4 linked regions of the Styela clava genome follow. The protein of the gene in region 1 binds, or shares a complex with, the protein of each later gene. Links are inferred from orthologs where the notes say so. Each region holds a gene or a part of one and is shown on either strand. Other genes may lie near its edges. The genes, in order: THO complex subunit 2-like, SAP domain-containing ribonucleoprotein-like, THO complex subunit 5 homolog and THO complex subunit 6 homolog.

Region 1 (8,453 bases):
CATTGAGAATATATCAACGATAACAGAACAAATTGATGGATGTTTCTCCTGAAAATATAAAGGTTTCATCAGCGAACATAGCTATATTGTATAAGAATGACCGAATCTCTTTCCACAAAATAGTAAGTCTATTTATGAGCTTTCGTTAGATCATAGTCTAACTTGATAGTCTAACAAGTTATGGCTTAATCAAACAGCAATAATATTAACTGCTGTTCAGTAAACAATTCACTAGTACAGTGGTTCCCAATCTTTCTACCCTGGCGGACCGATAAAATTAAATGTACTCACGGACCGGCAAAAAATAGAAACGAGAATATCAGTCGGAGACCGATTAATAACTCACTAATTATACGACATAATTAACCCAAAATCAATAGGTCTGGTCTGAGATATGATGATTGCACATGAAAAGTTTGGAGCAGATTCAACCTCGCGTTCGTGAGATATCGCGTTCATCTAACAGACATACAGATAGACAAATACCTATCAACATACTTACCGATCTTAATAAGATCGATGAGTAATGAACGGAACAGAAAAGAATAACATATATTTGTGTATATATACATATAAAAGGAACACTTAAAAACATATCCCCACGAAGAAAAACTATCAAATAATGTGCCAGACAAAAATTGAAATGTGTGAAACATAAAATAATACCATATATTTGCGTAATGAAATGCAGTACTGGGCACCCATTATGAGTAAAAGGACATCCAGGGCAGCAGGGAACCAATACCCTAGTACACCCCAAAGTACATTCGTAATTAATGAAACCCGAGAAGATTATTTTTTATATCAAGTGGGATCATGAATAAGAAGATTTTCATGTTTGTTTTTGCTACGATAAAACGGGTAAAAAATATAAGTTTAATCATTCCGCGAACTAAGCCTTTAAGAAGTTATTTCTTTAAGATCGTAAAAGTTAATGGAGTCTAATTTTTAAAAATAACAACAGCCTCCCATTCAGTTAGGGGCGTAGCAAGGGTGTGGTTTTGGGGGTTAACCCCCACTCTTTTGAAATGTAAAAAAAAATCATCATTGTGTATCCTATATAGCAATATCTCATAGCTTGGAATGCTTCCTAGACCCTCAAGACCAGGGGTGGGCACGGTTTTGGACAAGGGGCCAAAAATTTTGCCCGATCTCGACTGGCGGGCCATGTAAGTGCGACGTGAATGTTACATTTTATGAAGAATATTTACAGTGTTACAAAAGCAAGAGTGTAAAACAATAAGCCTCGTGCCAAACTAAATTAAATCGTAACCTTAACAAATTCCTTCAGCTATTTTTCTTCTAAAACATCGAAATTTGGTTTTAGTTTGGTTGTGGCAGCATTGGGCGGTCCAGATTGTATTACCTAGCAGGCCGGATTTGACCCTCGGGCCGTACTTTGCCCATGTCTGCTTAAGACTGATGAAAACACTCGTATTCCAGCGTTCGGTCGTCCCCACTAGTCGTTTCGATCTAATTTGGCAAATAAAAATTTCAGAACCCCCCTTCAAAAATTTCTGGCCACGCCCCTGCATTCAGTTACCACGCCCCTGCATTCAGTTACCATTCCACAAGATAACCAATTTCAAACCAAAAAGATTCATTCACAAACAGTAGTTCTTTATATCAGTGGCTTCTTGACCAGAGCTGGGAAAAAGTGTGAAAACAAAACAGAAAACAAACCTTCAGGGCACTGATTAATCCGACCAGCTGTTCGTTCTTGAGACATTTCGCCAAAACTTGACGAACGACTTCGTAAAAGATTCTACGAACATCTGAAAAAATTTGAATAGTTTAAAATATAATTCCCATGAATATCAAGAAGAGAGGAAAGCTGATAAGGTGGCTTAATCAGATGGCGAACCAAAGTCTCTCAGTCAGTTACCAGTCAATGCCAGGTATGAGATTAGTTAGCTATTTATCAGATGCAAAGACTGAGATATTGTTGCGAATAATAATCAACCAGCGGTTGCATGAATTACTCCAACAGTGAATAGTCTTATAATCCTTGACATTCATAGTTGTAGGAAATTTTGCCGCATAGGAAAAATCATCGCATGAAAATCGCCGCATTATGCTGTAAAACAAGTATTTGTGATAGAATCAGTCAGGTATATGAAGTACCTTTTTACTTTAATAAAAAATCTTCCAACCCTACAGCAAATTTTCCGGACATGCATATTTATCCCCCAAAGAATTCAAACATAGGTGACCACATCTGGGGTTAACATACATAACAGGCACAAAGTACAAACTGCTGTTTAGATTTAGTACAGGATTTACATAATTATCCCAGGGGAGAGGAAAGCCGATAGGATGGGTTAATTATATGGCGAACCACGGCCTCTCGTTCTGTTACCATCCCATGTCAAGACGTGATTAGTTAAGTATTTGTTTTGGGGATCATGGGACTTGATGATGGAGGAAGCCGTACCTGACTAGCGGCGAAGTGAACTTTCTTGAGGAGAATGCATAGCGCAGCTCCAAGCCTGATTATTTGGTAAAATTATCATAAATAAAGGCGAAATATCACCTTTTCCTTGAACGACTTCTACTGGTCTTTTCTGGGCTGAGATGAAATGCTCACATTTGCTGATTCTGAAAAAAAAAATAGCAAAGTAATATAGAATTCATATTTATCCTGAAAGTAGAGAAAGCCAATGAGGCAGTCTAATCATAAATGGCCTCGCAATTAACTAACTGTGTTATGTACACTACTCGAGGACAATATAGAGCCAACAAGGAATTCAAAATTGCAAAACTGCACAGAGTTGTTTTAGTTGCCAGAGATGAAATAACAAGAACGCTTCTTATTTTCCCAAAACATTTTTTTCTCTACTGGACTGGCAGAGAAACGCAAGACCTACAGCCTAGGCCCACACCAGTATATCCCACACTAACTGCTTAAATAACGCCTAACAAAAATGTGACTTGAAATTTCAAAGGTAATTAAGAAAAAAAGCCTGTGTGACGCTGGATAAAAATCTTGGAACATATGTTTAGTTCAAATTAAACTCACTAAACTTAAACTAAGCAGGTATATCAGTACCCACGAATAGATAATTTATTTTAAACATGGTATCAAAATATGACAGCACATATGACTAGGCGGTGTGCCACATTGCCCCAAGCAGCTAAGAGAATATGCACTACACCTCTGATAACTCTACAGGTATGTGAGTCCGCATACTCTTGACTATTGGTGCACTTTCTAAAGCTTTTTTAAGATTTTGCCCCTTTTTTCCGATTTTCTGTATATTTGTTTGTTTTGCTGTAACGATAAATACAAACTAAAAAACTTTACGTAAACTTGAAATGACCCAAATGCAGGAATGAGGTTTCAACATGCCATAAACACCAATAAACAAAACTAAACAACTGTAGTACAGCTTACATTTCTGCTTTTCCAGATTTCTCCCATTCTTTAGCAATTTCTTTCGTCACAAACTTGAAATGTTTGTTGTTTTGAATCATGTTTCCAGACAAACCAGCTGGTAAACACACGCAAACGCTGAAACAACTAAGAGCGAAATCCAATGCCGTTTTAGTGAACCGAATTAAGAGTCAAGATTTACGAATCCGGATGTGCTTTCTATTTCAACCGCGTAAGAAGTTGCGAGGGGGATTTTTTTAAACCACGGGGAGCCCAGACAATGATAAAGTTGAAGGAAAAATCTGATATTTGGGATTCTTAGTCCATTTTTGACCATGTTGAGCACACATTTATCTCATTTTGATCTTTGAACTAATTTAACCCTAATTTGAAAATGTGACATATGTGTTAGGATAGGATAGGATTTACATATTTATCCCGGAAGAGGAGAAAGCCGATAAGACGGATTATCCATATGGCGAATCACGGCCTCTCGTCCGGTTACCATTCCAAGTCGCGTATGGGATTAGTTATATTGTTTGTTTTCGGAAGCATGGACTTGGTGGTGGAGGAAGCCGTAACCGACCAGCGGTTACGTGAACCACCCAACGACGGCGAGGAGTCCAGCAATCCTCTCGCACATAACCATCCCTGCATGGGATTCAAACCTGCGAACCCACGCAGAGTAATTAGAGGTGCGGTGGCGAGCGTATTTCTAACGCTTTGCCCGTTGAGCTACACCGCCGCGCTGTTACAATGGACCTTTCCCCGACCTTTAACCCCCAAAAATTCTTTCTATACTTTACCATTGCAAAATTTTCGGGGCTATTTTAGGAGTGGTTTTGCGAGTTGGTGCCTGTAAAATGGGGTATGTGTTTTAAACCATCATTATAATTCATCGCATACAACAATCTGTTTTTTAAAAGTACCGGTAAAGAATTTTAGCATAGTCTATCACAGCTATTTCTACACTAATTTTTGAAACTGCAATTAAATGAAAACTCGTAGGAAGACAGAGTAATCATTGAATTATCTGATTTATATTTAAGTTTCCGAAACACAACTAAACACTAACGAATAAAGTTCAAAAACGCAAAAATGAGGTAATGTTTACGACCACGCTTGAAAATTTGTCTGAGTGAGAAAAGTGTCTGAGCGAATGCGAAAAGAGAGCATTGGCACGTCACTTTTTGCATCTTGCTGATTGGCCAATGTCACGAAGTAAACAAGGAAGTCGATGCCCGGGGAAAGGTCCATGGGATTTACACTGTATACAAATGTGAAAAATTGATGTTGAAGTCTCACATTTTTATTTCAACATTTAACGAACGAACTCAAAAAGCAATATCGGCGAATCATTTGCGCATAAAGCAAGCATGAAATAAAAACTTAAAAAACTGCAGAAACGATTACCTGAGAATAACTCATTGTTCCAATTCCTCAGGCGTGGGAAGTCATAAAACAATTGCGAACTTCGACAAAACAAAGTCTCACTTTACACTTTAAACAGCTGGTATTTATTTGATTGCGTTCACACAATTTGCATCTTCCCCTTTTCTCAATTTTCTTTGGCCAGTGTGCGTATTTGTCTCGGCGGATATCTTCACATGGGGCCTTGGATAATTACCTTGAGAGGCTGCAAATTTCTTCAACTTTAGACGATGGTCTCCCGCGACGGGTGTTAGTATTGACATAGGTCATAGATCAAAGCGCTTGCGACTGCTGCTTGAAAATGTCGCCGTTTCATAAAATATGACGTTGGAAGACGGAGCAGGGGACAATCATGACGGTACCAGAGCCAGGCATTCACAATAGTCACTATTTTATATGCCAAAAGAGATAAAGATACCATCTTTTTTGGTTTCATTCGAAACCTGTACTTTGCAAGAAATGAATCCAATTTATCAATACCTCCCATAAACTTATTATATTCTTGCACGATAGCAGGCATGGGTATGTACACATGCTGTTTAGTTCGTCTGTCCCATCGTCTGATTTGATCAATTGGCTCCACTCCTACGTACGAAGATAGTAGTGACACTGCCCTGTTGTCATACCATCTTACGGCTATGTTATTGTTTTCCCCAACTCTGAAGTCATAATCCCCCCTGACTTTTTCTTTAATTTTTTTTCATCGTCCAGGTTACAGCTGGGTAGACGTTTTTTTCTCACGATCCCAACATAATGCATTCCTCGCTCTGATAATTTTTGAATGAATGGAAAGCTGCTAAGAAGGTTATCAGCAAATATCTTGTAGTTTGCATGGTATGACAATGTTGATGTCAGCTTGAGAAAAACGTCCGCACCTTGTCCTAACTCTGTGCGTTCACCGGTACCACCCTGGTAGAGATCAAAGTCGTATAGAATTCCACTCATATCCCCCTTCCCCAGATCTTAAAACCCCACGGATGAGGCTTACTCTTCAGGTACTGACGTATGGAACTTGTCGTGCCTTTATACTGGCACATCATATCGTCAACAGAGTTGTATTCCTCGGCTGTAACCTGTAAGCATGCATCTTTGAACATTGTTAGCCATGGACAAATCTTCCATAGCTTGTCAGAGTGTTTTTCGTTGTCAGACACAGTCAAATTGTTTACAAAATGCGGAATTCTCAGCAATGTTTGAAAGCGGTTGCGAGACATCACTCCACTCACTGGTTCAAAAAATGTTGAAGTTTCCCAATACATTCTAACACTGTGCATCTGCACTATACCCATGTGCAAATACATTCCTAATATCTGCTCAATTTCCTTTTTGTTTGTTTTGACCAAAATACCATTCTTTTGAACAATGTAGAGATTTGTTTGTTCTGTCAGAAGTTGCAGCATTTCCTCTGTCACAAAACCTCGGCAATAACGCAATGGCGTATCTACAATCATGTCAGCAGGAGGATCCAATTGGGGGCCGGAGAATGTTGCATCAGGTCTGTCGAATTGTTTCTTTCTCCACCGAAACTCATTGCGGTCGGTTGCATTTTCTATTTGGCTTTGTTTTTGATTTTGCACTCCTAGACTCGTCAAAGGAATGTCGTCGTCAGAACTTTCGGACTCGACCTGTAAAATGAAATATCATGAAATGAAAACAAAAAACAATATTATTTATGGTTTCGATCAATGAGTGAGAAAGATATTTGTCAGAAACTATTTTCGGTGTCTGTGAGCGATAATTGATCGTGAGAAGAAACTATGTAATCAATATTTGAAAATATTATGAACCTGGGAGCTGTTGTTTTCGTCTTTTCTGATATCGTATTCACTATCTGACCCACTACTAGTGCCTCCAGCATCATTATCATCACAGTTGAAAATGACAAGAATATCATTAGCATTATACACTCTTGCGATTCTAGTTCCCCGCGAGCTGCTTGACACAATCGATGCCATGTTCTAGAAAAAAGAATAGATATGGTTAGTGGCCTGACCAAGCAAGAAAAAGGAAGTCCAAGGCTATAATGTGAATGCGTGCAATTATTTTGTCAACGGTGTCACATGCAGATTTATTTATTCTAGTTGTATGACTAATCCCGATGTGACACCGGTGATACATCAAATGTAGACCTTCGTATGTCGGGTCAGTATTCACTCTAGATTCTCAATTCATACAACTTAGTAATCTATATCAAGGTAACTAAGAAGCCAACTCACCATTTATTTAACACCAATCGGCGTTCGTCATTTATGATCTGATGTTTCCAGGCTTTTCAGGATCTTGTCAAGAATCCCACCTAACCGGCCGATCGGTGCACGAAAGCTGTGCTGTTGAGTAACATTGGGCCTTAGGGGTTCTATGATCTATGACGTCGAAGTGTGCTTGGAAACATTTTATTTCTACAGGTTTCAAAAGATCGTGTAACAGGGGTGTTACGTGGGATTCCCTATTGAGAGATTTTGTTTATTTTTTTAAAGCATAGTAACACTCATTAATAAATAGGATTTTCTCATTTATCCCAGAGAAAGGAAAACCGATAATGCGGTTTAAAGAGTTAATTCTATAGCAAAGTACGGTCTCTCTTCCGGTTACCGGTCCATGTCGAGCATGGGAGATGGGATTAGCCGCAAACTAGGGCGACTTCATCGCAAAATGTGATGATGGCGTTTGGTTGCGATGAGGATGTCATATCTTTAAAACAAAATAATTTAGACGAAAAATTCGAGTTCAAAGCATTCCGTCTCAGATCTTGAAGGGATTTGTGTTGCCAAGGCAAGTAGACCCAACGCCTTTCTCAGATATCCGGTTTTCATTCGCTTCTCTAATAACTGACTTACTGGTTCAGAACAAGAACAAAAAAAACCAACAACTGATCGAATCAATGTTTATTATCATGTTTGGTTATATACAGAAATCACATGGAGACAGCTATGAATTTATTAACTGAATATATAAACTGAACGCGTTTCAATAGACAAGGCGACCAATTCAAGACATGGGTTATACGGTTAATAATAAAATAATAGTATAGAAACAATATATAAGTAAGCAGTGGCAGGATTCAAGAGGCTCTTGCAAACCGTTCCTGTTTTTTTATGATTTAGTTCAGTATGTTTCTCTAAAATGAGAGAACCCGTTGTTAGCGAGTTCGGTGCAATAGAGAACCCGTTCTTAGTTTTTTGAATTCTGCCACTGAAAGTGAGTAATAATAAGTAAAAAGCAAGTTTCATTTATAATAGGACGAACATACTTGTATGGCCTTTGTCTAATTCTAATCACAGGCCAACTTCAGTGTGGAATAATAATGCATAAGTAAAAATATCAGTAATTTAACTTTTATAAACACGTAATTTAGTCTCCTCTCATAAATAAAATCACGTTTTAAAGGTTTTAATGCTTGGAAAACAGTCTTTGTAAAAATATGCGATTTAGTGAAATTGAAGAGTAATTTAAGATCGGATCGTTCATGGGCAGCTTATAAATTTTGCATAATCAGACATGGACCTATCATAATTTGAACATTTAGAACAACGGCCATAGAAAAGCGAACAAAAATTTTAATGAAATCTATATAGATAACAACAGTCATTTAACTGTTTTTGTCTTTTTTATCATTGAATCGTCAACAAAGTTCTGTCAGGTTTTGATC
Region 2 (7,861 bases), on another chromosome or scaffold:
AAGCATATGGTTCTATCTTCTATGGTACAACAACACTAGCAGAGGCAAGCCTTTTATTTCTTATATCGATTAATTTTTAATTTATCAAAAGAAGAGACATAGAAAGCATTGTATACCCAAATAAATTCGTTGAAGAGGTCACGTCAGAATTCATATTCTAGAATATGCATAGAGACGGGAAAGTAAAACAACTGGCAAATTACATCAGCTAATGTATTGACCCATACAACCTTATCCAAAAAGAAAATTAAGAAAAAAAAAAGAATTATTGAAAACATTACCTCCTCCACCTTTAATGAGATCTATAAATCCAAACTGTGGATCTGATCCATGTATGAACGTATATGATCCACACCATGAATCTTCGCTACCTGGAAAATTGCACATAACAATAGCAAACTGCCAATATACTATAGATTAGCAAAGTTTAAACCTTAAATGTTTTGTATGAATACCAAAAAAGCTTCAATGGTCAAATAGCAATAAAACAATATTCAATCACTTAAAATAGCTTACATATTATTGAAAAAAATGATTGTAAAATCTCACCTTTCGTGTACCCAGGTATCTGACGATTTACAGCCTTTATCAGCATTCTTCATTTGATACAATCAGTTTACTAATTTAGTTTAGTACAGTTTTGCCAGTACAATTTATTACAATATTTGGTGTTAAGTCTTATTGGATAACTAATTTTTTCAATAAGTTAAAGATTCAGACAGAATAAATTACTCATAAGCAAAACATTGAGTGAATTTCAGAATACCACATTTATGGCCCCAGCCCCTACACCACATTTATTTTTTAGTAATGTGCTCATATTTAGTCTAGTCATCTCCTGTGACTTGATACCACTCTCGCTATAATATAGGTTCTCCAATTTTCAGTTTATTTCTCCCATCATAGTTATTATTGAGTAGCCGCTATATTATTATTAAATCTAGACAAAATGGTAACAACAAAGAAATTAATCATGAATTTCAAAGTTTGATGTAAAGTTCGGTGGCGATATTCAATATATCAAGATAAAAACACATTGGATTGAAAATGAAATTCCAAAATAATTTGACCAATATTTTCAAGACTAGTGACGTAACAATCAAGCAGCCAAGTATACAGAATTATTTCCATGGATTGCAAATGATATAATAAACTGTATAATAATCTAAATTTTAGGAATAGGACTGTACAACGCCCAGAAAAAATGCGGATCGAGATTTGAATGCAGATATGTTTGAAGAAAAATGAAAATTCAAGCTGATGTAAAATTAGTTATAATTTACAACAAAGTATTCTTTATTTCAGAATATTTCCATCTAGAGAATTGTCATCTTGATGCCCCAAGTAGGTGATCAAGAATGGACACCAGTTTTTGGATACGTTAGGGAAATAGCTTCATTTTCCATTTACCATATACAAATTTATTATGCTCGAGTCATAATCAGTATTTAAAGAATTTATAGATATAAGAAATGTGATATAGTGCAACAATACCATGTTATAAATCGAATTCTGTTATATAATTTTCAATACTAAGTATAGAATGTAACATCGAGGTTGTAATGTCAAAATAACTGCTAGCGACTACTAGTATAATCACCCTGTTTGTGTGTCATTTAATAAAACAGTAAAATTGGTACCATTAAATATGCCTATTGTAAATTGTACAACTACAATGCAACAGAGGACCATGATGCATACCAATACTTTTTCCAAGGCCAAGGCCAAAGTTACAAAAACCATCACCCAACAGAACAGTTCAAAAGTTGCTATGATTGAGTAGACTAAGCAGCGGTAGTGGACATCAGAGAACTCAAATTCAATTTAAATTCAACTAATATGGTTCTCACTAGTGAGAACAATACAACATTAATAAAACACAGATTGTCTTAAACCAATTTGAACTTGTATGCAGATGAAATTAGGATACCTAGGTGTGTATCACACATACGATCAAAGGGGCCTATCAACAATGCACATGCATGGAATGAGGTAATAAGGTAACTCTGCTTCAAACAGTCAGCCCGAACCTTTCAGCCCTCTTTTTCTTTTTATCAACATCTTCACCTGTTATTGTACCAGATGTTTCAATACCAAACCTAGCTTGTCGTTTCCTCCGTTTTTCATCTTCTTCATTAGTACTTAAGGTACTGGAGACGGCACCCCCAAACCTTTCGGCCCGTTTTTTGAGTTTATCAGGGTCCGCACCAGGTGTAGTACCTATCCCTTTACCTGTTCCGAATCTTTCGGATCGTGCAGCTTTTCTTGCGTCAGCGTTCATGTCAGATACGGTGACACCAAATTTTTGTGCACGAATTTTCAGTTTATCAGCATCAGATAAGCCAGTTGGAGAATGCAAGTCTTTAATATTTTCAGTTAATGAATCCTCTTCTTCCTCTATCTTTTTGTCATTTTCAGTTTCAACGCTCTCAGTGTCATTCGGCACTTTTTCTTTAGTTTGTTCAAGAGGAGCTGATAAAACAGAATCCTCTAGTTTTTGATCATCTATTAATGATTCTTCTTCATCCTCTTTTAATATCTCATCATCCGCAACCTCTGCACCTTCATGTTCCTCCAAGTATTGTTGAAGTCGTTCAATTAGGTCGTGTTTATTGCCTCCAGTCTTCAACCCTCTCAACTGTAATTCCTTCTTTAACTCAGGAATTCTCATTTTACTGAGATCAATCACAACTTCATCTTCTGATGCCATTTTTATTATAGTTTTATTGCTTACGGTAGTTGAAATGATACTGCAAATGAAAGCAATGGTCATTATCCAAAGGTCATTATTCAGATAATACTGCTGTACTGGGTAAATATAAATAACATAACCAGCATTGCTGCAAACAATCAATTGCAAGTGAGTTCCATTTAATGAATTTATGGAAAACAATTTATTAAATGAAAGATGTCGAATCGATATTTTCAGATTTTAGAGCAGGGGTCTCCAACACGCGACCCGCAAAGCATTTTTTGCGGCCCGCGTTGTGAGATTTTTCCAGAAAAAAAAACAAAATAGTATAATGTCAACTATGAGTTTTATCGTGTTATTTAACATCAAGAGTCCGGTACAATAAACTGTTAAAAGTAAAACGAAAATATCAGCCGTTATTCCACTTTACCACGTTCATACTTTATTCTATTGTAATTAATAAATTAGTTAGTTATATACTCTATTGTAATTATTATAGTTAGTTAGTAAATTAGTTATCATTATCCTTGCGACATGGATCTGTGGCTTGAACATCTGGAAATTTTTTCATCTTCATGCACAAACTTTTCCATCTATGTTGCGTGACACAAATAATCACCATTCGAAGTTATATATTTCAGTACTTAGTGGCATAGTGATTGGTCACAGCATTTAATGCAATTAAAACAGATAAATAATTCGATTGATGAAAAAATTATATGCATGTGCCATGAAATCAATCATATCACTGTAATTTATTCCAAATTTGGCATGAATTTATTGACGTAAATATAGTGAAATGAATATGTAAATATTATCTTATAATGATCCTAAGTACAGAAGTACTGCTGTCAACCTGTCCAGAGCTGTGGGCAGTTCATTGGAAAATAACAAGGTCTGACTGTCTGAGAAGGCTAGCTCAGCTTACAGACTTAGCCTAGTTGTTGAACTAGTCTGCAATTTAGATCTAGGGTCGAAATCAAATTCCCTTGTACATCAATAAACATTTTATAATTTCAGAAAATACGGTAGCTTGAATTAATCAGATTGACATTGCAAATTCAAAAATAATAAACTTCAATAAGACTATCTGGGAATGGATTTTCTATATATTATTCCCCACTCACACTGTATTAACTTAGGCAATCTACATCTCAGCATATTGCATAAGATTGTAAAAACAAAAATATCACGGGAATGATGTATTCACCAAACCAGCGACACACTGAGGTAAGTGCTCAATCAGTCGATGCTAAACGACCCACAGACTTTTCAGACCACGAGGTGGCATAAGACGGTTTGAGTTCTGAGTTTGATTTTCATTTGCCTCGGGATTTGATTGCCCTTCTTGGTGACAATGAAGGTTGGAGATTAATATATACTACTGGTATCAGACAGTTGCAGTCAAGCTAGAATAAAGACGCCCCCGAAGCCCAAGATTTAGGTAAAATATGTTTCATGTTTTAAATAGCGCTAGCAATTTGATACGCGTAATATGACGTCCCATTTTCAGTTGCTATGACATTTACTACAGTCATGAGCCTCTTTAATTGCATTTAAATTAAATTCATTACGGGTACCTAAGACACTTGCTCGATTTGCACACGTATCACACCTGTAATAAATAAATTCCCATAATTCAAGTAAAGATTGACTTTTTGTATGACGTCGCTGACACTATTTCTTGCTTTTTACAATTTTATATTGTCACAATCCAATCCAATTTTCATACAGATGTCAGCTTAATTGTATTGTGTCGAATGTAGATTCTGGTGCTGCCATTTAAATAATCTTTTTTATTCTTAAACCCCACATCCCGCCGAAGTGGAAATCGCCATGATAGCAACCGAAAATACAACTTTCAATGGGAAAAGACATTTATGTGGCTCACCAAATGACCTGATGGCTCTACGTCAGCCTATTGCAAACCCATTATTGTGCTAAGGGCATCAAATCAGACAAATCATAGGGCTTTTGTACTTAGTAGAATTGTTAGCTTTTTTCGTCTTGATTTGTCTTTTTCCGATCACTGGGATCTGACAACGCTGTAGTCTCACTGCCCTGTTTTGGCGGTAGTTGTTGGTTATTGTTCGCAAGTCTAGCAGTTTTATGTGTTATATTAGTTAGGTTTACGTCCAGTTGTAGGGATAATTAATTGCCCGTTCTACAGGCTTATGTTATTGGTACATATAACTGCTGTAACTTTTATTGTGGAATTTTAAGTAAGCTAGAAATAGACTATAATCTGATTGATTCCTGAACCGAAATTGACGTTGTTTCTGTATATTTTAAAGCAGTGTTTCCCAACCCGAGTCCGCGGTCTCAAATGAGTCCGCGGAGCGTTTGAATGAGTCCACAACGGGCCAGAAATTCACTGCGGGCCGCAAACGTTTTTGCGAGACCTAACTATCAGCCAAGTTATGATTTATGTTAGAATTTACATAAAACATAAAAAAATAAGTTTATTCATATCACTTAATCCAGTCAATAATTTCTGGTTACTGAGTAGGGCTTGGCATATATATATTCGAATATTCAACTATTAGAATAGCAATTTTCTATTCGAAAATTCGGCAACAGGTGGCGTGACAGGTCACCTGCGCGTCGCCTAACCAAACAATTGCTAATTTTCTACGAAAACACCAGTCGGCACGCGCGTCGATAGATACGTAAGTAGTGTTTCTCGCGAGTGCGAACAACCAGAAATAATTTTTTTTCTGGTAGGTGTCAATGGTGGCAACCCAAATTTTCTAAATTGAAAAGCGGCAATACAAACTACTATAGATAACACGGAGAACACCATAAGTTTTGTTTTATGGTAGTCCGCAACCGATTGAAAACACTTTTTTACATTGCAAATCGCAAAATTTCCGGTGCCACCATAGTATACGTACAAGGGCATTTTCCCTTAGGATACTTTGCTTTACTGCCTCCACATTGGTATGTAGGCTACAGTACTGGAGCGCCGTAAGTTTTGTTTCAGATTTGTCGAATTCACAAGATCGCAAAAATTATGTATCAAAACTAAATATAATCGGGTAACATATTCTCACATTAGTATATTCGCAGATTGCCGTGGAATTTTAATGTATAATGGCCTTTTCTGTCGCACAATATCCAATCCATGACAACTACGAGAATTTAAAATGTCTTTCTATTTTAATTCAATCGTGTTCATGGTAACTCGCGGTTGCGTCCACTTACGAAAAGATGAAAGCATTTTAGGGATAAATTCGTTATTTTAGTTAAAATTCATAGAAAGGTTTCAATTGGATATTTGGGAGTAAGGTATTGAAGAAAGGAATGTGTTGAAAGGTCTGGTATTAGGAGTCGTCTTGATAAGTGTCGTCTCGTCTCTCGATGTTCTAATGTTGTCTTCATCGTTTGCTCTCCGTGTCTGTCCACAACCTTAAACTCATCTACAACGTCAAAACGTGTTTTTATTGGCTAAAATGGTGACGACGTGTTCTTTAATGGCTAAGGCATTACTTCTTTAAAAAATTCGGCCATTTTAACGAACGCTCAATTGCGGCAAATTTCCGATTATGAAATTCGTTAAAATTCCGTTGTATTTGGTTTTATTGCTTCTTCACACAGAGTACGGTTGCAAGAAATGCACCTTGAGTCCGCAAAGGTTTTCGCTAATGAGGAATAAGTCCGCGACCAAAAAGAGGTTGGGAAACGCTGTTTTAAAGTTTAATTTGTTATTGCCTGGCACAAAACGTTTTGGTAAGATTGTAATTTGGTATTCTACATCACTGGTTCTGTTGATATTTGCCTCAGTAGTGATGTCTGGATGTGTTGGTTCGATATTAATTTGTGATCAACATTATTATTGTCTGAATAATAATTACTTTGATTAACAATTTAAGCTTGCAAGAGCTCCAATACATTATTGTTTTACATGATCTGTATTCGAATATTTTTATTTAAAATCAGAAAATCGCTTCGCTATCTTCGCATCGCTATACTACACTTCATTAACTTCACACTACACCTTGTGAAAACCTCATCCAAATATCGCGAACTGTTTGTCTAGATTTTATTGCAATATATCAAATTATTTTGTACAACATTATTGATATTTGTGGCATTGGAAGACACACTGAGAGTTGCGCGTTTTCGAATAGTTTTCCACGAATCAAAGATCAGCCAGATATTTCAGTCACCCCCTTATGCGACACCTGGATTTGCCAGGATACATAAAAAAAAGTTACCCTATGATCACAGTGTAAACAAAATGGTCAAGAGCCTCTATGACCCACAAAAGTCCTACACAATTAAATGTTTAAGTTGTTCAATGTACTGTATTACTATAAAAATCAGCATTATTCCATTCTATTTAACATTGTGTTGTGAAAATGAAATATCTTTCTCTCGTGCTACGAGGCCGCACTTTTCCCGCTGTTGACCAACTAAAAAATATCAACGTTGGCTCGCTGGTGCAATTTTCCCTCCATGCTCGTCAATTTCTGTTTTGACTTAGTCTTCCGCCCCCTCTTATTTCGGCTCCGACCCTATTGTTTTCTTTTTTTCTCCCTTGTTTTTGGCTCAAATTTTTTTTTTGACTTCCTCTCTCACTTGTTTTGGCTGCGACCCTATTTTTTTTCGTTTGTCTCTTGTTTTTGGCTGCGGCCTTGTACTTTTGTAGTCATTTTTATCGTTTCACTTTTTCCTTTCGGCAAGGCGGCTCATGGTGCTACTCGTCAGGAATACGCTCGCCATCGCACCTCTGATTAGTCTGCGTGGGTTTGCAGATTCGAATCCCATGCAGGGATGGTTATGTGCGAGAGGATTGCTCGACTTCTCGCCGACGTAGGGTGGTTCACGTAACCGACCAGCCACCATCAAGTCCATGCTCCCGAAAACAAATAACTAACTAGTCCCGTACCCGACATGAAATGATACCCGAGCGAGAGGCCGTGGTTCACCTCAGTTCTTCAGACTTCTTTCTAGCGGTTTTGCCTGACTGCATCTCTCTATAACTCCGTCTACGCTGCGGGATGATTTTCTGCGTTCCACAGAATGTGTATCCCTGTTCGAAAGGCACATTATGAAGCGGATCTGGCCCAATACGAATGGCGTTCAGCAATTATTTAATTGTACAATACAATTATTCATTATCTCAATGTTATAAAACTAACAATGATACAAGTTGTTTCTTGTCAG
Region 3 (8,702 bases), on another chromosome or scaffold:
CAAAAAGCGGGAGTGCAACTCGCGCGTAACACTAGCTGATGATCCATCAAAGAATAAATAAAGCCCTTTCCATGCATGTTGAGGGAGGAATGGTTTATCCAATGATAACTGCAAACCCTCAATTGGGCGTAGTCTTGAAAAGGTTATCATCAACCAATCCATTCAATCGTATTATGGTCCCGATCTAACATCACAAAACTTGTTTGTAGTAAAGGGATGTTATTGCATGCCTCGACCAGGGCTGTGTAGCTAGTTCCAAATCATAGTGAATCTTCATACCCATTGCGGTTTTTAGGTAACCACTGCTTATCTGCCATTAAACATCAGCCCCAAATGCATTTTTATGGAAGCGAGACTCAGAACTATTAGAATTTGAAAATTGAATTTGTTTTAACATTTGTATGGAGTACTAGAAAATCATAAATGTTACATAATTGGATGGTTAGGAGCAATGTTCCCTCTAATTTTTTGTAGTATGTGTGCGCAGAAATTTTGGTGTGTGCACACTTTTTTGGAAATGACTATTATTTGTGCAGAAACCAATAAAGAAATTTTGGCGTTCTAACCGGGTAATAAGTGGGCCAACAACAAACTTTCTCAACCTGCCAACCGAGCACATTGTTACATTACATCGAAATACGTCTGTGCGCAGTAAATCTATGCGTGTGCGCAGTCTCTGAAAGCTGTGTGCGCGCGCACACCTTAGAGGGAACACTGGTTAGGAGCATGAGACATTAAAATTTCTGGTAGCTCTGGCTTTATCTATGTTGGTAAGCTTTGCTCCAGCTCCCCAGCCCTGGTCTCAACTTTTTCCAAATAACTGCAACAAAATCATCTACCCACTGCTCTAATGAAGCAATAATTGAAGGACGGCCATGATGAAAAGAAACTAGTTGTATTTGGCATACACATTCATTCAAACATCACAATTTGGCAGTAATATGATTTTATATGCACTGACATTCAGTAAAAAATTATTACAACATTCAAAAATGCCAACTCTCGAAGGACTTCTATTTTTATATGAACAGAAGGACTGATTAAACATGGTTCTTCATAATGACTCAGTAGCATTGAAATTTGTGTCTCGCATTGTATTTGAAAGGTTTCAGGCGTGCCCTTCCTTTTGACATCCGTGGACATAGTTTACTGGTTGGAAATTCAGATGGCATGTCGCTACCGTCCATGTTGCAGTCCGTTTCAACATATATATCAAGCAGAGTTAACAGCCTGTATAACTGCACTGACAATAACTCGTTCTGCAATTTCTTTCTGGATTTCATGACGATCTGTGGCATTTTGCAGTTCACTTCAACTTCTATCTCTCTCACATTGAGGTTATTTTCGGCTGTGTGGTTGCCATGCCAACAGACTTGGATTCTGAACAGTGGCCATTTCGTTGGATATTTGTCGGACACAGCAACTGCTACCTCTACATTCGCACTCGAACCTCTTTGCAAAGTTCCGCAGTAGAAGTAATCATTTTTCGACACTAAATCAAGCTCTCTTGCTGCAGAAGTAAATTCCATTTGAGAATAATCATGAAAATCGATGCACTTCCATGAAGATAGCTTGAACAGAACAACAGGTGCAAAATTTTCTCGGAAACTTGGATCACATGTTACAACGTTGTTTGAATAATCATTGAGTTGATTTGCTAGTGAGAGACGAGATTCTATCCGTTTCCTAATTAGCTTTATGATAAGATGCATTGTAGAAAAACCGGATTGTCTACTTATTACTTCACCATCCTGCAATGCAACCAAACCTGCTAACTTTTGCGCCCAGACATAACCAAACTCATTTTCTGAGAATGAAATTCCAGTACTGTGTTTTCCAGTACCTGTTGCTTTATGAGGTATGGATGTACCATTATCAACTAGTTGAAGATCATTCAGAAGGGACGATGCAGCTATGACACGAGATTTCTTGATTTCATTCAATGAGCTACACAATTCTAGGGATGGAATAACAGTAACAAACTCAGAATCATAGCTGTAAAATCTCATCAACAAATAGGAAGAATTTGCAGTCTTCGATTCGAGGTAAATTTTGAGCGAAACAAAGAGCGGATGTTTGGAGATTGAACTGTCAATGTTCATCACTTCACTCGATGCTGCTTTTGTAGATGTACTCTTCCTTCTTCCTCTCTTATTTTCCTGATCATCCTCATTTTCAGAATCGCTATCATCTTCATATCGATTCTTATATAAATTAGTTGCATCAACAACTTTTCTTGTTTCCAGATCTTTCAATCTTTTTGCAACATTGACATCCCCTCCGATCTGTACATCCATGTTTCTGTCACATGCGTCGGAGAATGCTTTCGCTTGCACAAATAGCACGTACAAAGGCTGAGGAAGAAGATATGCTGTGTCATAAAGTGCCCTTGTTTCAGTAAAATGATCACCTAGTGCTTCCTGCAATGGCATTGTGCTTTTTAAGATCGTTTCCAAATTTGGTTTTAAGCTGTCTAAATCTTGTTTGCGTTTCTTTATTCCTTCGCATATTTTGTCTTTCTTTTCATGTGCTTGTGTTAGTTCCTCTTTCAATGTTTTGCGATTTTCCAATTCCCAATCCAGTCGTGCTAGAGTTTGTAAATGATTATCTGTTCTGGTCTCATTTTCTTTGGATATTGTCGGAGGCGCTTCAGTATAAAACTCATTGACTGAAACCAAATCAATATCTTCATGTTTTGACTTGAATTGTAAACAATTATTAACCTCCCTGTCAAGATGGCTTATTTCATATTGCAAATTCTGCAAACGTAGATTATTTGCATCTAATTTTTGCTTCGCTTCCAGCGTGGAATCTTTGGCATTTTTACATCTAATTTGTGCAAGTCGATTGAGTTTTTTCAGCGTCATAAAATGGAGTGAACCAGTGAGACGTAGTTCGTTGATTTCCTCTTTCCCTTTGTCAGGCGTTTTCGACTTGAGATGTGAAATTTGTTGCATGATTGTCTGTATTTCCTTTGTGATTGATGAAAACATATTGAGATCATGGAGGGAATCTTCAGCGTGTACTTCAGATGCTTCGTTATAGCTCGCCATGTTTTTCTCAAATTATTATTCTAAATACTAGTATATCGTACACACAAAATAAAAAGATAACATAAAAGATTTGCATGATATACATTTGAAAAAACATTGAAATGAAAACTCAACAACTAAATAAATTCATCTGTCAGGCAAGAGTGGTTATATATTTGCCTATAATATAACGGTAAATGAATGCTGGTACAACAGCAAGAAAACACAAAAAATAGGAGATGACGTAAACATACTATAACCATGTTCTGTACAATACATCAATTTATAATCTGTGCTTTAGAATAATTGGTACATATTTTGAAAAGTTCTAGCATGCGCTTATAATAACTTCAAACCTACATAACCACTCTAAAACTGAATAATTACGGTATATGTGAGCAATATATTATATCTGTGTCTGTGTGGTTACAGTTTATGATCCTTTTTTTTTTAATTTTCCTATCAGACACATAACAGAACTTTCAAGAATTCAATATGGTACCTGAGATGACATAAGAAAATATACATTTTTCACAAGCATGCATTCATTATTACGAAGACATTTGCAAAAACTAAGATTATAACATCATGGTGAGCTTAGGAATACAGTTCAAAACTTGTAAAAATCTGAATGTCCAGAGTTACATCACCAATTACCAGGAAATTAATGATGGGGATGAGAAATAACTAAATGTCGGATAAAACAGAAAAATTTCCATGACTAAGATTTACAAATGCCTTTTGGCACAATACAATTTATCGTTCATAACAATAATTGTGACTCATTAACCACCGACTCATAGAAAAAGTCTTGATATTCTAGTTTCATTATCCTTTCCTGCGATCTTGTTATAAAAACGTATAATGTGATGGATGAAATGATGTAATATCGTCAAGCAAAAATAATAAGAACAACAATATAATTTTAATCAAAAAATATAAATCTGAAATTTTAAGGCACTTCATCTATATTGAATTTGAATCAAAAAAATCAAACTCAAATTTATAATGTAAAGGAACCCGTACAAACTGGTAACAAATCTTGGCATTGTGTCGGTTTACTAGGTTTAAATGAAACAAGTAAATAATACCTTATTAACACAATGATAATCAAAGCTAATTCAAAAAAATATACATGCTTCATTATTTATTCAGATTTTAGAGGAGAAAAGTCACTCATAAAATGTGATAAGCCACTCAATTTAAAGCTCAAATATTTGTTTAAATTATTTAAAAATTCTTGCTGTTTTAGAATATAAGATCAATATATTTTGGGGTTATGGCAGCAGTAGTTCTACTAGCTTGATTTTCATTTGAGCAAAGTGTGTAAAAGTATAAGGAAAGATTTCTTGATTGTCTTTAGAGGATCACATTCAAAATGAGGATTTTTAAATAAATGAACAACAAAGTGCCAATAACCACAATATGCAAATATAGTAATACCAGTACTTGGTGTCCTTGAATGATTGTTTCAGTTATTCACACTGTACGTTCATAGCCTCGCCATGTTTTAACCACGATGTTCTAACTCAAACCAATAAATAGCCAACCTATCCAGAGAAAGAATGTGGGGGAATATTGCCTTTTTGCCATATATGTATAGGCCATTTTCACAAATAAGAAATTGAAGAATACTTATTAAGATATTATAAAAAGCACCAAATAGTTCAAATAGTAATGATTTGATTTGCACAAACATTCCTATCATTCAAAGTTAGAGTTCTACCAAAGTTACATATGGTATGTTTGAAAAGCCAGTGAATGTCATCTAATAGAACTTATAAATAGAAGTGATATTGACTCACGAATTTTCTCAATATTGCATTATTTGCAAAAATCAAAAATATATAAAGAATTGGAAAACGAACAGGAAAGCATCCATCTGAGTCAAGGAAACATAACCTATTTCCATTCTGTTCAATACACTAAAATGTGGTGTTATTTAGGACCATAATTTTTTTTTTAAATCAACAACACTTTTGGATTACTAGACTAAAAAAAATGAAGAGGGAATTAACCTTGAATTTATAGTCTTAAATAAGATGTTTTTTACTCACTTGAAAAATATTGAGAGTATACACAAGTTCTTAATCTTCCAATACAATAAGTAGATTTAGCACTCAAGTGACAAGCTCTTGACATAGTTTTGTAAATGATAATGAGCTATATCATTTCAACTTGGATTAAAAAAACAGGCAAGTATTATAATTGATTTAATTTTTATCGCATCATTCAGTCAACCAATGATTGAAAAAATCTTTTATACGATACGGCCTATTACTAGTTTTTCTTCTACTTTCCAACTCAGAATATACAGCAATATCAGACAGATTAGGTATTGTATTATGCTTATAGATTAATAAGAATTTACTGTACAATAAACCCTAGCATAATATAAATAAGGCAAAATATACTTGGCAAATAAATTGCTACAAAAAATTATTTGACGATATAACGGAAAAAAATTTGTTGACTTGTCGAATATTAGCAACATTTCCAAAAAAAGTGCTAAAACCAACGTACCGACAAACGTACCAATAAAGATAGTAAAGAAATTATGAATATTTTCATTCAGTTATAAAACATTTGCAAATATTATGAGTATGAATTTTTATTTTATTATAATATTATAAAGTGCAACATGATGTTTATTAAAAGTTAAATTTTCAAGTAATCATATTTCAGGCACATGTAACGGCATGTTCTTGAGATATGGCTGCCAATTCCTTTAAAAATTCATGCAGAATCACACATGCAAACACAACATTTTTAGTTCGTGTGTCATTATTTTGCTTATCTAATGCGGAGAAAAATTTTGTGTTAGAAACTGCATAAAACATGGATTGTCCCTCAAATCCTGTTTTTTGTGTCAGTTGTAATGACCTTCCTTGTTTTTCGACCAATGTATCTAGTTTTGAGCCTTTCTGGGTCAATGGTTTTCTTCGCTTTCTTCTTAAAAACACTTCCCCAAGAGCAGTATTTCTTGTTTTCACTCTCGGTACCGGCATGGGTGTATCTTGAACTAAGTTTTGTTCAATGGTGTCAACTGCTTCATTTCCTCTAGCAAGAAGGTATTTTTCTGCCCGGCACAACAACGCATCAAAATTTTCCACATTTGCGGCATACGATTCTATACGATTTTTCACTCCAGTAAGAACTTGATATAATGACCTTACTGCAGGATGAAAAACGACATAAGTATTTAGAAGAAAAGATCGAATCAGAGGTTGAGGATATATAGATAGTCTCGATATGATCCCAGTCAACAGAAGGTTTTCGTAAAGCGAATTGCTCGGCATTTGATCCAACTTTCCGAACAAAGTACTTAGAAACGGACCTGTATAAGGCATGGCATGCATTTTTAGACGTGGCACTAAGGGAGCGACAGAAAATTCCGCAGGTGTGTATTCTAAATCTGGTTCATAAAACGAAGAGTTAATCGACATGCTATCATCTTCCCAATTTTCATCATGATCTTCCAAACTTTTTTCATAACTGGAATCCTCCGAATTTACGCTAGCCTGACGGTGAGTGCCATCAGGTTCATTACTCGCTGTACTATTCAGTCTTTCTGCAAATGAATCATCTTCAATGGGGAATTCAATTCCAGTATCTTCAGTGGGTGATGACACTTTTCCTTCAATTCGATCTCTTGCATTTTTTGGTACACTATCCATTAACCTCCTGAAAAATTCATCCACAGAAGAAGTCTGAGCATTCGATGGTTTGTTATCTTTCTCCTTGTTATCTGGATCATAATTATCAAATGATGAATTAGCTGTTGCTTCATCAGATATAGCAGACTCATTTTTTTCGTCATTGGTTTGTTCACTCACATTGCCTGAATTTTCGACACCATTCCCCAATACTTTTTCAGCATCATCCTTCACTGAAAACCCGTTTTCAACCCTAATTTTTTCAGGTATATCAGATTCTTCTTTGAAAACGTCAACAGAATTATTTTGATCTGGATCAGTGATTTGTTCTTTATGTTCTTCGGGCAGAGAATTTATCTCCTGATTCAACTCTTCAGCGTTCCCATTCATTGGTAATGTTGACAACCTTTTAATGTTAAGAACTTGCGCTGTTGCATTTAGTGCTTGGTATGTAGCATTTAAGGCATGTAATGCTGGGCTTCGTTCAGCTCCCTGAAGTTTTTGATATTGCATTGGGAAGGGATCAGATTCAGCATGTGTTTTGTGATTTTCTTTATCATTAATAGACAGGAGACTCAGTGCTTTATCATGCAAAAGTCCAGCAGACATACTGCCAGTTAAACCCTTCACTTCTGTAACAGAATCTGTAGAAGGATTCTTTCCATTATAAGGCTCCGACCAATTCTTACAAGCTTCTTTACATGAGGCAATAGCAGAATTAGCACTTTCCAAATAATCCATATAGCTTGTATGCAATAACATTTGAGAGTCATGATCCGGGCCAAACTCTGCCATTGTTGTGGGGCTCGTAATCATTTCTGATTGGTCACTATGATTGCTGTTATTTGATCCTGCGGATACCTGAGAATTTGAGCGTTCTTTGGAATCAGCGTCTGTCACAGCGACATCTTTAACAGATTTGTTAATAACTGAAGGTGATTCACTTAACTCATTATTCAAAGATGTTTTATCGCTTTGTAAATTAAAACATAATGGAGCAAGATTTATAAATCTATGAGCAGATGCACTGTACATATCTACATCACATATTGAGCGATGTTGACTGGCGAGTATGTGCTGACATGGTATCAAATATCGAAACACTAAATGCAGCATCAAATCTTCACAATCCAAATCTAGCAACGTTCGAAAGAGTGACAACGAAACCGCAGCCAGCCTACTGTTGCTCCCAATTCTTTGTATCAATGTATTGATGATGAGTGAATTATCATGCCTGTGGCACAGTAAGAACTTGAGAAAGCATTGTAAAAGTTCTGGGGCCGTCACAGATTGCAGAAATAGATTGAGATACGCAGTTGTAACAATTACTTCACTCGCTGACGGTTTGTGTAATGCAGGTCCAAAAACAGAGACTAAAAAACCATTGTATATGTAGTTTAGTAAATTTTCACTTACAACACCACAAGAAACCTCAATAACAGAATTACAAAATTCAAAAGAGTTCATGAAATTCACAAGCGCTGGGACTTGACTCCAGTCCTGTTTCCTTAGAAAATGCCATTCATCTGCCCGGACATCAATTTGACGAGGCAAACTTGAATACAAACCACTTAATCCAGTAGCCAATACTGGACAAAAGTCAGTTTTGACAATGTATTCTGCAATACGTTCATTCTCACATGACATAGTGATACAAAGCAACAGTGCATCTCTCGCTTGCTGTCCGATACTTCCCTCTCTATGAATGAATCCGATTAAAAGGCTAAAAATTAGAAAATTAGTTGCTCCTTGATCATCAGATGAACCAAAAAATACTTCCAACAAAGTAGGGTCACGACTAATCCAAACACACAGTAGATTCAGCAACAAAACAACATGGCTGTCAACTTCTTCCGAATTCATTTCAGAACAAGACGATAATAATTTCAACATTGGTGTTATTAATTGTCTGTGATGGAGCAACGAATGTTGAGCTTGACTGATCAAAACTTCATAAACTTTGATTTGATTCATTGCTATCTGTTTCTGTAACTCTCCTGATCTTTCAAACCAC
Region 4 (7,790 bases), on another chromosome or scaffold:
ATACTGAAAATCAATCGATCAAATCGTTACTCATATTTGTCATTTCGGGAAACTAACAGAATGAACATTACAGCAAATAAAAATTGACGCATTTATTCAGAATGAACAGGATAAACCCAATATAACCCCCACGATCTACTTATATGCCGACACCCATCATCAAAGCAGACAAACCGTTAGTGCGAAAGGTTATGATCATTTGATATATTATAATTCCCGGTAATTTTATAATAGTACTTGATATAATTTGGCTAGTTTGGGCTTCAATTTGGTGAGTGAAGGACACGCATTGGTAACGTTATAAACGTTTGTATAACGTCTCAATCCGCCATTTTGTGTCCAAAGTTCTATCGCTGTATGATTCCTTACTAAGTGATTTAAACCTGCGATCGTTAAACGAATGAACATTCTTTTGAAATGAATTCGACTCGATAAATCAACACCAAATAAGGCAAAAATATTGAACAAAGAGATACACATTTTATTATAAAAATTCTGATGTAAGTATCGTTACTTGCATAAAACTTATTTTAACAAACTGACAATACAAACTACACTACAGAAACTTGCAACTATTTGTAGCCTACATAATATTGAAATCTGCGTATCGCAAATTTTCAACAGGGTGTAGATTGCCTAAATATATTGAAAAAATATACTACATGCAATGAATGCAGAATAACGGTATATATCATAGTTACAAGAACATATAATAATATAGAGTGTATGAAATAATATATTATCTATTTGACTCTGTATTCGTGCTGCAGTTTTACTAGCGTACTGTTTTTCAATTTTCCTTTGTCACCTCTTTTGCGTGAATATTCAACCAAAATTTTAAAAGCGGCATAGTGGCCAGATGAGAAATTATATTTCGAGCAGTCGACTTTATCTGTCAGAAAAGTAACCGGCGACCATATATTATGAAAGGCATTAATACGATTTCTCTTTGGATGGGTGGCACAAATATTGGGTAAAACTATCGTTTTTTAAATTTTTATCATGTGTGGCCAAAAAAGAGTTAGTTACGATTATGGGCGTTCATCGGGATTGACACTTTCCATAGAAACAAGCGCATCTCTGCAGATTCCACAGTCTCGTTTTTTCACTTCTTTGAGCACAGCCTAACCTGTTAAATAATCGCAACTTTCACGAACCCACACGATACCAGTATTGTTCCACTAGCGGTCGGAGACTTACGACCTATCGATCTTCCGCATGTTCCCTTCACTCTGACTTAATAGCGACACCACGTGTTCCATCACTAATTAAATAATACGACATAATCCATCCAAAACCAATAGGCTTTTGGTCCGAGATATGATGAATGCTCATACAATATTTGGAGCAGATTCAATCTCGCTTTCGTAAGATATCGCGTAACATACGGAAGTGTCTAATAGACAAACGAAAATATCGGTCAGAGACCGAAGACTAATCGATCGAAAGTTAGCGTATCCCCCAAAACAAAAACTGCGGTTTCGATCCATCCGTTATGACTCCATAGCGACACCGTGTGTCCCATCACTAATTAATTTATAACTCGCTAATTATACGACATATTTCATCCAAAATCGATAGGCTTCTGGTCCGAGATATAATGAATGCACAAAATTTGGAGCAGATTCAACCTTGCTCGTGAGATATCGCGTAACATATTAAAGTGTCTAACAGATAGACAAACAAACAAATACCTATCAACATACTTACCGATCGAGATCGATAAATAACAAACAGACAAATACCTATCAACATACTTACCAATCGAGATCGATAAGTAATAACTAGGGCTGGGAATGGTTAACCGGTTAACCGATTTCATATGGTTAACGGTTATGATTTATTTTAACCGTTAACTGACATCTCAGGTACAAATCATCTTTATACCGTACAATTTCGTCAAATATGATTACATCATCGCAAATTCATCTTTTGCGGCGTTTAATTCAAAAAAATATTACTAACTGTGTGGGTAAGGAATCAATAAATGTGAAAAATAATGGAAGCACCAAGGTTGCTAATAATGAAAATTTACAATGATGAATTCAGAATCAGTTTTCAGAAATATATTGTTCACGATTTCATTGCAAAATCGGATATTCAATGTCATACAATAAGTGTACAGTTGATGCCGTTTTTCTTTATGATATATATCTCGAAGTAGAATTTGCACATAGAACACTCAAAATTTGTCGGGTTTTCTAAAATATTTCCACATGCCCGAACGACGCTGCCTATATTTTGCAGCATAGGAATCATGAAACTATCTCGATTCGTGAATAATTTTGAGTGATGGCGGGATAAGAACACGTGAAATTGTTTTATAACCATTGTGACGTAACAAACTGAAATTAGAATTATGACGTCAAACATCACGCGGCGGTTAACCGGTTAATTTTACCCGGTTAACGGTCAAAGTGTTTCCCTAAAATTCCCAGCCCTAGTAATAACACATCTTCAGACAAATTGGGGAACGAAACCTGATCAGCGGACTGACGAAGCTAAATCAAACAGAGGCTGCCGCGTTTCGCCGGACACAAAACGGCGTCGGATATGCATCATTGCACTCATTGTTAGCAATTGGGTTATAATAGTCAGTGGTGAGATTCAACAGGTTCGCACCGATTCGTTGTAACATACTTTTGTAACAGAACCGACTGAAAAATATGGCTTTTGTGATGGAACCGGCTGACAAAAAAAAATTGAATCCCACCACTGGTATGTATGTATGTTTGTTTGTCTCGTAAAAGTAACAAACGCATATATAGATTATCATTACTGAAGACGGGATGTATGCACAAGACCATACTGGCCTAAAACACGAACGTGGAGCATGCACCCCGTTTGAAAATTTTTAAAAAGTAGTAAATCGAATACATATAATATGGTCTCTTATACAGACAGTTGTGCAAGAAGTGTGGGTGGGTGTGGTAATAGAGGTAAGGGTGGAGTATACAAAACTGTTTGTACAGGAGTGTTTGTGAGAAAAGACAACATCTATAAATACGACATAACACCACACAAAATGAACTAAATAAATAATACTAAATTTAGAATTTGGACAAAAATACACCCTTGATTGACGGTATCATGGTCATGTTTAAACAAGAGTTAGTGTTCAATATCATGTATATGGTATGGACTACTCAAGTGTGATCGTGACTTTAGTAGACTATGGCTATTCTAGCAAAAAGTTTTGGTGAAATGGGATAAAAATATGTATCAACTTATCTCTATATTTTCTAATCATAAATATAATCAGCAAAGATCTGGATTTATAACAAAGCATTTCCCCAAACTTGTGGTGGTTTCACTTTTGGCAGAACGTTAAAGAGGTTTAGAAGTGCAATGCAAATGAGAATATTAATATATAAATGAATATATATGGTTATAGTCACATTGGTCTAGTCCACCTCTCCATGCATCCATCCAACTTGGCAATTCTGATTGGGCAATTTGGCATATAAGTGACTCCAACTATAATCAACTTCAAATGATAATACCTTTCTATCTAAAGTCTGTACTCTTCAAACCTTACTTGAGGTTTTGTTTGCTTTCCGATTCTATAATCAGTGCTATTTATTTTGTTTTTATCAATCATTTTATCGTCTATTATATTGATTATGGAGTCGAAAAAAATGATAAAAGAATAAGTATAAAGAATTTGAACCAGTTTATAAGCGCTAACTCACGAAAGCACTCTCAAAACAAGAGAGCTATGCTCAAATATGTGGAGACGCAGCGCCACCTAGTGGCAAATGTCGATGACGTCATGGCACACATAAAAAACGAATCCCATGCAGTTCACCGGGATATTTGAAAAATAAAAGTAATACCCTTCTAGCGAAAAATTTAATCTTTGAGTACTGAAAATTCCAAAGCGATTGGTCCGGTAATCAAGAAGAAGAAAAAGAGTACCAGCATAAAATGCAAAACGATCGTTATGAGAGAGAGAGAAAGAATTTATTGCTTTTGTCAAACCAGAAAAACAAAACGATCATAATATATATTCACAAAATAAGAATTCAGAGTTTTCGGTTTATGACTGGGAGAAAACGATACGACCGATAAGGTCATCAGAGTCTGTCCACTAACGTGTCCAATAACAAACAAATTTTGCAGGGGCAGGTACTGTATATGAAGATTTTTTCTGGAAGATTTTTTTTATATATGAGGGCTACTTGTATATTTGCAAAAACTGCCTTTTATTTGTCAGGCTGATTTATTGCTGCTCCCAATAATTTCATCGTTTACCTATTTTAATATTGGGTTTAAGTTTTTAATATGCCACAGTTGTTGTCTTGTTTGAAAGGCTTACTAATAATAGTTATTCAACCTAAATTGCATTTATATATATGACTATTGATCGTATGTTTACCAAAATTGTTTCTTAATTGGGGTATATAATAATTTTTCAGTCACCCATTTGCCAAAAATCTTTCTTGTTGCTTATCGATTTTAATCGGTAAGTATGTTGATGGCTATTTGTCTGTCTGTCTGTTAGATGCACGCGATATCTCACGAAAACGAGATTGAATCTGCTCCAGATTTCTCATGTGCATTCATCATATCTCGGACCAGAACCCTATTGATTTTGGGCGAATTATGTCGTATAATTGGCGAGTTAATAATTAAATAGTGATGGGACACAAGGTGTCACTATGGAGAGCGCTTTTTTGGGGGATCCCCTAACTTTTGATCGATAGTCCTCCGTCTCTGACCGATATTCTCGTTGTAAGGTTGATTCCTCTCTTGAAACAATTGTTTTACATGAGTACCATGTTGTTTATCTCCTATTTATTCGTACATGTAAGGCTGGTTCCTTGCTGATTCGAATAATTGTTATGTGTCCAAATTTACATTTGAGTATAGTAGTCCAATAGCCAAAATTGTTTTTTATTTGTGGGGCTCACTACTCACTTTCAAATAATAGTGTAATAGTTGAAAATTTGCCCAAACTGTTTCATTTCACAAATCTCATCATTTAAAAATTGATTTCACAGGGAAAAAAATTAATTACTTTTATTTACTTCATTTTTATGTTTGTTTTTTTCAAATTTTGTGTCGTGAACTTCAACCATTTTTAATAGCCATATTTTACTGTGAATTTATCAGCGTAAACTTGGAGGGGGCTGACTTCGATGACCGCATGGTCGTTGTCGTATCGCTCCTTCCAGTCTATACCGAAAAAAGCGTACTTTTTTTATAGCCATTATTTATTTGTTATTATGACTGTTTTTTTTTCTGGTTGACTAAATAAATCTCTCTCTCTATCTCTCTGGAGTCGAGGGTGACAGTTATGGAATGAAGCATGGGGATAAATGTCGTGTCTTGGCGTATCCCGCAAGATGGTGCGCAAGATTCGCGGGGAAACTTGATAATTTCAGGATATGAACAAGCCGGGCATGTGGAGAGAATTTAGGTAATTTTCACTCGGAAAGAAGGCGGTGCCGGTACAGAAGACGTATACGGACATGCGATATATATATAAGTTATGAGGAACTAAGGTCTTAACATTAGGCAGTATACTAGTGATACCGGTAATATTCACAATTTGCCCCCGCATGAGCTCATGTCTGCATGTGCCTTACTGCTGTAGTCTACCTTACTGACTCTTCTTCTAATGCTGTAATGTGTCATGCAGTGATCCAATTTGTTGATATACAATTCATATTACAATAAACTTAATTTACCTACTTATTTATATTCGTTTCTTCAGACTATGGATTCAAGACACTTGCTGTGTACAACTGTGTATTCCACTGTATTTTCTCCTTGTGGGAAGTTTGTTGCTGCAGCAAATAATTTTGGACATATATCTCTGTTTAATTTTGAGAAAGCAGTCACACTCAATTCTCTTAAGTGGCAAAAATCAATTATTACATTCAAAGCCCATGATGGCCCAATACATTCACTGGTGTCCACGAAAGACTGCCTCTTAAGTGGAGGAGTTGGGCCAGTGGCAGCTTGGAAATGGAATGATATATTAGAAAGGAAACCGGCAAAAGTTTATACTCTGCATGAACCATCACAAGGAGATGAAGGATCATTTTCTTCAAATGACGTAAATGTTCTTGCTTGCGACGAGACAAAGCTATATGCTGGAAGAGATGACAATGTAGTGTGTATATGGGACTTTAATTCTGGAAAATGTGAACGGATGCTTATTGGACATACAGAATATATTCATGATATTGCAATTATTTCTCCTAATGGCCTTGTTTCTGCATCAGAAGATGGTAGTGTTAAGGTATGCACTTAATAGTAATGTCTGTATATCATGGCATGCATATCATGATTTTTCATTAAAATTCAGGTTATCTATTTTTACCAATTTATGATTTTGAGTCGATAAGTATCTTGAACAAAAGCGACAGTAAGCCATTAAATCAGCCTCACCCTTGACAACATAACCCTTACTACAGCACTATTCCTTTTAAACTTAAACAATGATTGTTTCAGGTTTGGGACCTTCGTATGGCACAGGCGACAACTACAATTGAGCCGCATCAAAACAAAGAGCTAAGTCGGCCACAATATGGAAAATGGATAAGCTCCGTTGCTACAGATGATAATGGGCAGTGGATGGTTTGTGGAGGAGGACCGAAACTATCACTCTGGCATTTGCGATCTCAAAGTCAAACTGCTGTATTGGATTGCCCTGAGTTCACACCATATACAACAGTGTTCCATGAAAACTTCATAGTTTCTGGTGGAAATACAAACTCTGTACACCACTGGTATACCAATGGTGATGAAAAGGCTTCAATTCCTTGTGGCATTGGAACAGTCTTCTCTCTAACGTTCAATAAAAAGAAAAACACAGACAGTGCACCATTGATTGCCGCAGGAACCAGCCACAAACTGGATGTATTTTGTAACCCAAGTTATAGATCACACACATTAAATCTATGATATGCAGATACCTGCATTGCACATTTATTATAAATTTTCACAACGAGTACGTCAGCTTCATTGGCTACAACGATATACATAGGATGCAAACAATAAAAAATGATTGACTGGTAAAATGCCTACTGCAAATCTAAACTGGCTCAATACAGCTTCAGATTGATTAACACTTGACACCAGTCAGTTAGAAGCAACTAAGAATTTCACAGTGGCAACAACCTGATAATAATCATGCGCAAATCAGCTTATTGGCAATCAATGGATTGACAGTTAGTTGAGATTCAGTACTTAACGAGAGGTATACAATAATATTGGATAGCGAAAGTAATAGCAATTATTCTTGAAGGTTTTGTTTATAAGTAAAGCCACCAGAGGAAAAAATATTATATAGAAATCGTGAGTGATTTGCAACTCACTTAGTCCTGTGGCGATGCATCATAATATTAATACTTGATAAATCAATAAACACAATTAACAAAAAGTAAATGAAGTAAATATTATATCGAAATTGTAAGTGAATGATTTGCAATTCTCATTAAGTCATGTTACAAAATGGCAATGTATTATATAATAGTACTTGATATACCAATAAACACAATTTACAATAAGACGATCAAAACGAATGGTCTAATCCCAATTTAAAATTCCAATAAAGCTGTAAGGTCTGAGAATTCATTTCTGTATGATCGTGAATAAAGTAGAAGAAGAAATGCCCACTTGAATGTTATGAAACACCACACACATGATATATAGAAACTCCCAACAGTAACTCCTGTGAAATAAAAGTATTCGATGTTCAATTCATTACTAAAAAATAAATGTTGCATGCTGCTCGCTCGCTCTGAGTTTTTATGCGGCTCTTTTCGCCAGCAATAATT

Evidence for each region.
Region 2: THO complex subunit 2-like (region 1) and SAP domain-containing ribonucleoprotein-like share a complex: the UniProt entries of both Homo sapiens proteins name them as parts of the transcription/export (TREX) complex. The link is inferred for Styela clava from reciprocal best matches to the Homo sapiens genes THOC2 and SARNP.
Region 3: THO complex subunit 2-like (region 1) and THO complex subunit 5 homolog share a complex: the UniProt entries of both Homo sapiens proteins name them as parts of the transcription/export (TREX) complex. The link is inferred for Styela clava from reciprocal best matches to the Homo sapiens genes THOC2 and THOC5.
Region 4: THO complex subunit 2-like (region 1) and THO complex subunit 6 homolog share a complex: the UniProt entries of both Homo sapiens proteins name them as parts of the transcription/export (TREX) complex. The link is inferred for Styela clava from reciprocal best matches to the Homo sapiens genes THOC2 and THOC6.

Annotation. Positions count from the first base shown.
Region 1 is NC_135263.1:707,388-715,840, reverse strand, and holds the start of THO complex subunit 2-like, read right to left. Parts: upstream 3,555-8,453; 5' UTR 3,475-3,554; coding exon 3,395-3,474; intron 2,599-3,394; coding exon 2,534-2,598; intron 1,776-2,533; coding exon 1,684-1,775; intron 49-1,683; coding exon 1-48. UniProt on the Homo sapiens protein: Component of the THO subcomplex of the TREX complex which is thought to couple mRNA transcription, processing and nuclear export, and which specifically associates with spliced mRNA and not with unspliced pre-mRNA.
Region 2 is NC_135261.1:12,045,177-12,053,037, reverse strand, and holds SAP domain-containing ribonucleoprotein-like, read right to left. Parts: upstream 2,771-7,861; 5' UTR 2,711-2,770; coding exon 2,012-2,710; 3' UTR 940-2,011; downstream 1-939. Other genes in the region: serine/threonine-protein phosphatase CPPED1-like, read right to left, coding at 282-371, 550-595. UniProt on the Homo sapiens protein: Binds both single-stranded and double-stranded DNA with higher affinity for the single-stranded form. Specifically binds to scaffold/matrix attachment region DNA. Also binds single-stranded RNA. Enhances RNA unwinding activity of DDX39A.
Region 3 is NC_135253.1:12,733,052-12,741,753, forward strand, and holds THO complex subunit 5 homolog, read right to left. Parts: upstream 3,054-8,702; coding exon 1,065-3,053; 3' UTR 880-1,064; downstream 1-879. Other genes in the region: FHF complex subunit HOOK-interacting protein 1B-like, read right to left, coding at 5,714-8,702. UniProt on the Homo sapiens protein: Component of the THO subcomplex of the TREX complex which is thought to couple mRNA transcription, processing and nuclear export, and which specifically associates with spliced mRNA and not with unspliced pre-mRNA.
Region 4 is NC_135252.1:9,987,920-9,995,709, forward strand, and holds THO complex subunit 6 homolog, read left to right. Parts: upstream 1-5,264; 5' UTR 5,265-5,422; intron 5,423-5,719; 5' UTR 5,720-5,722; coding exon 5,723-6,250; intron 6,251-6,462; coding exon 6,463-6,915; 3' UTR 6,916-7,031; downstream 7,032-7,790. Other genes in the region: heme transporter hrg1-A-like, read right to left, coding at 7,551-7,684. UniProt on the Homo sapiens protein: Component of the THO subcomplex of the TREX complex which is thought to couple mRNA transcription, processing and nuclear export, and which specifically associates with spliced mRNA and not with unspliced pre-mRNA.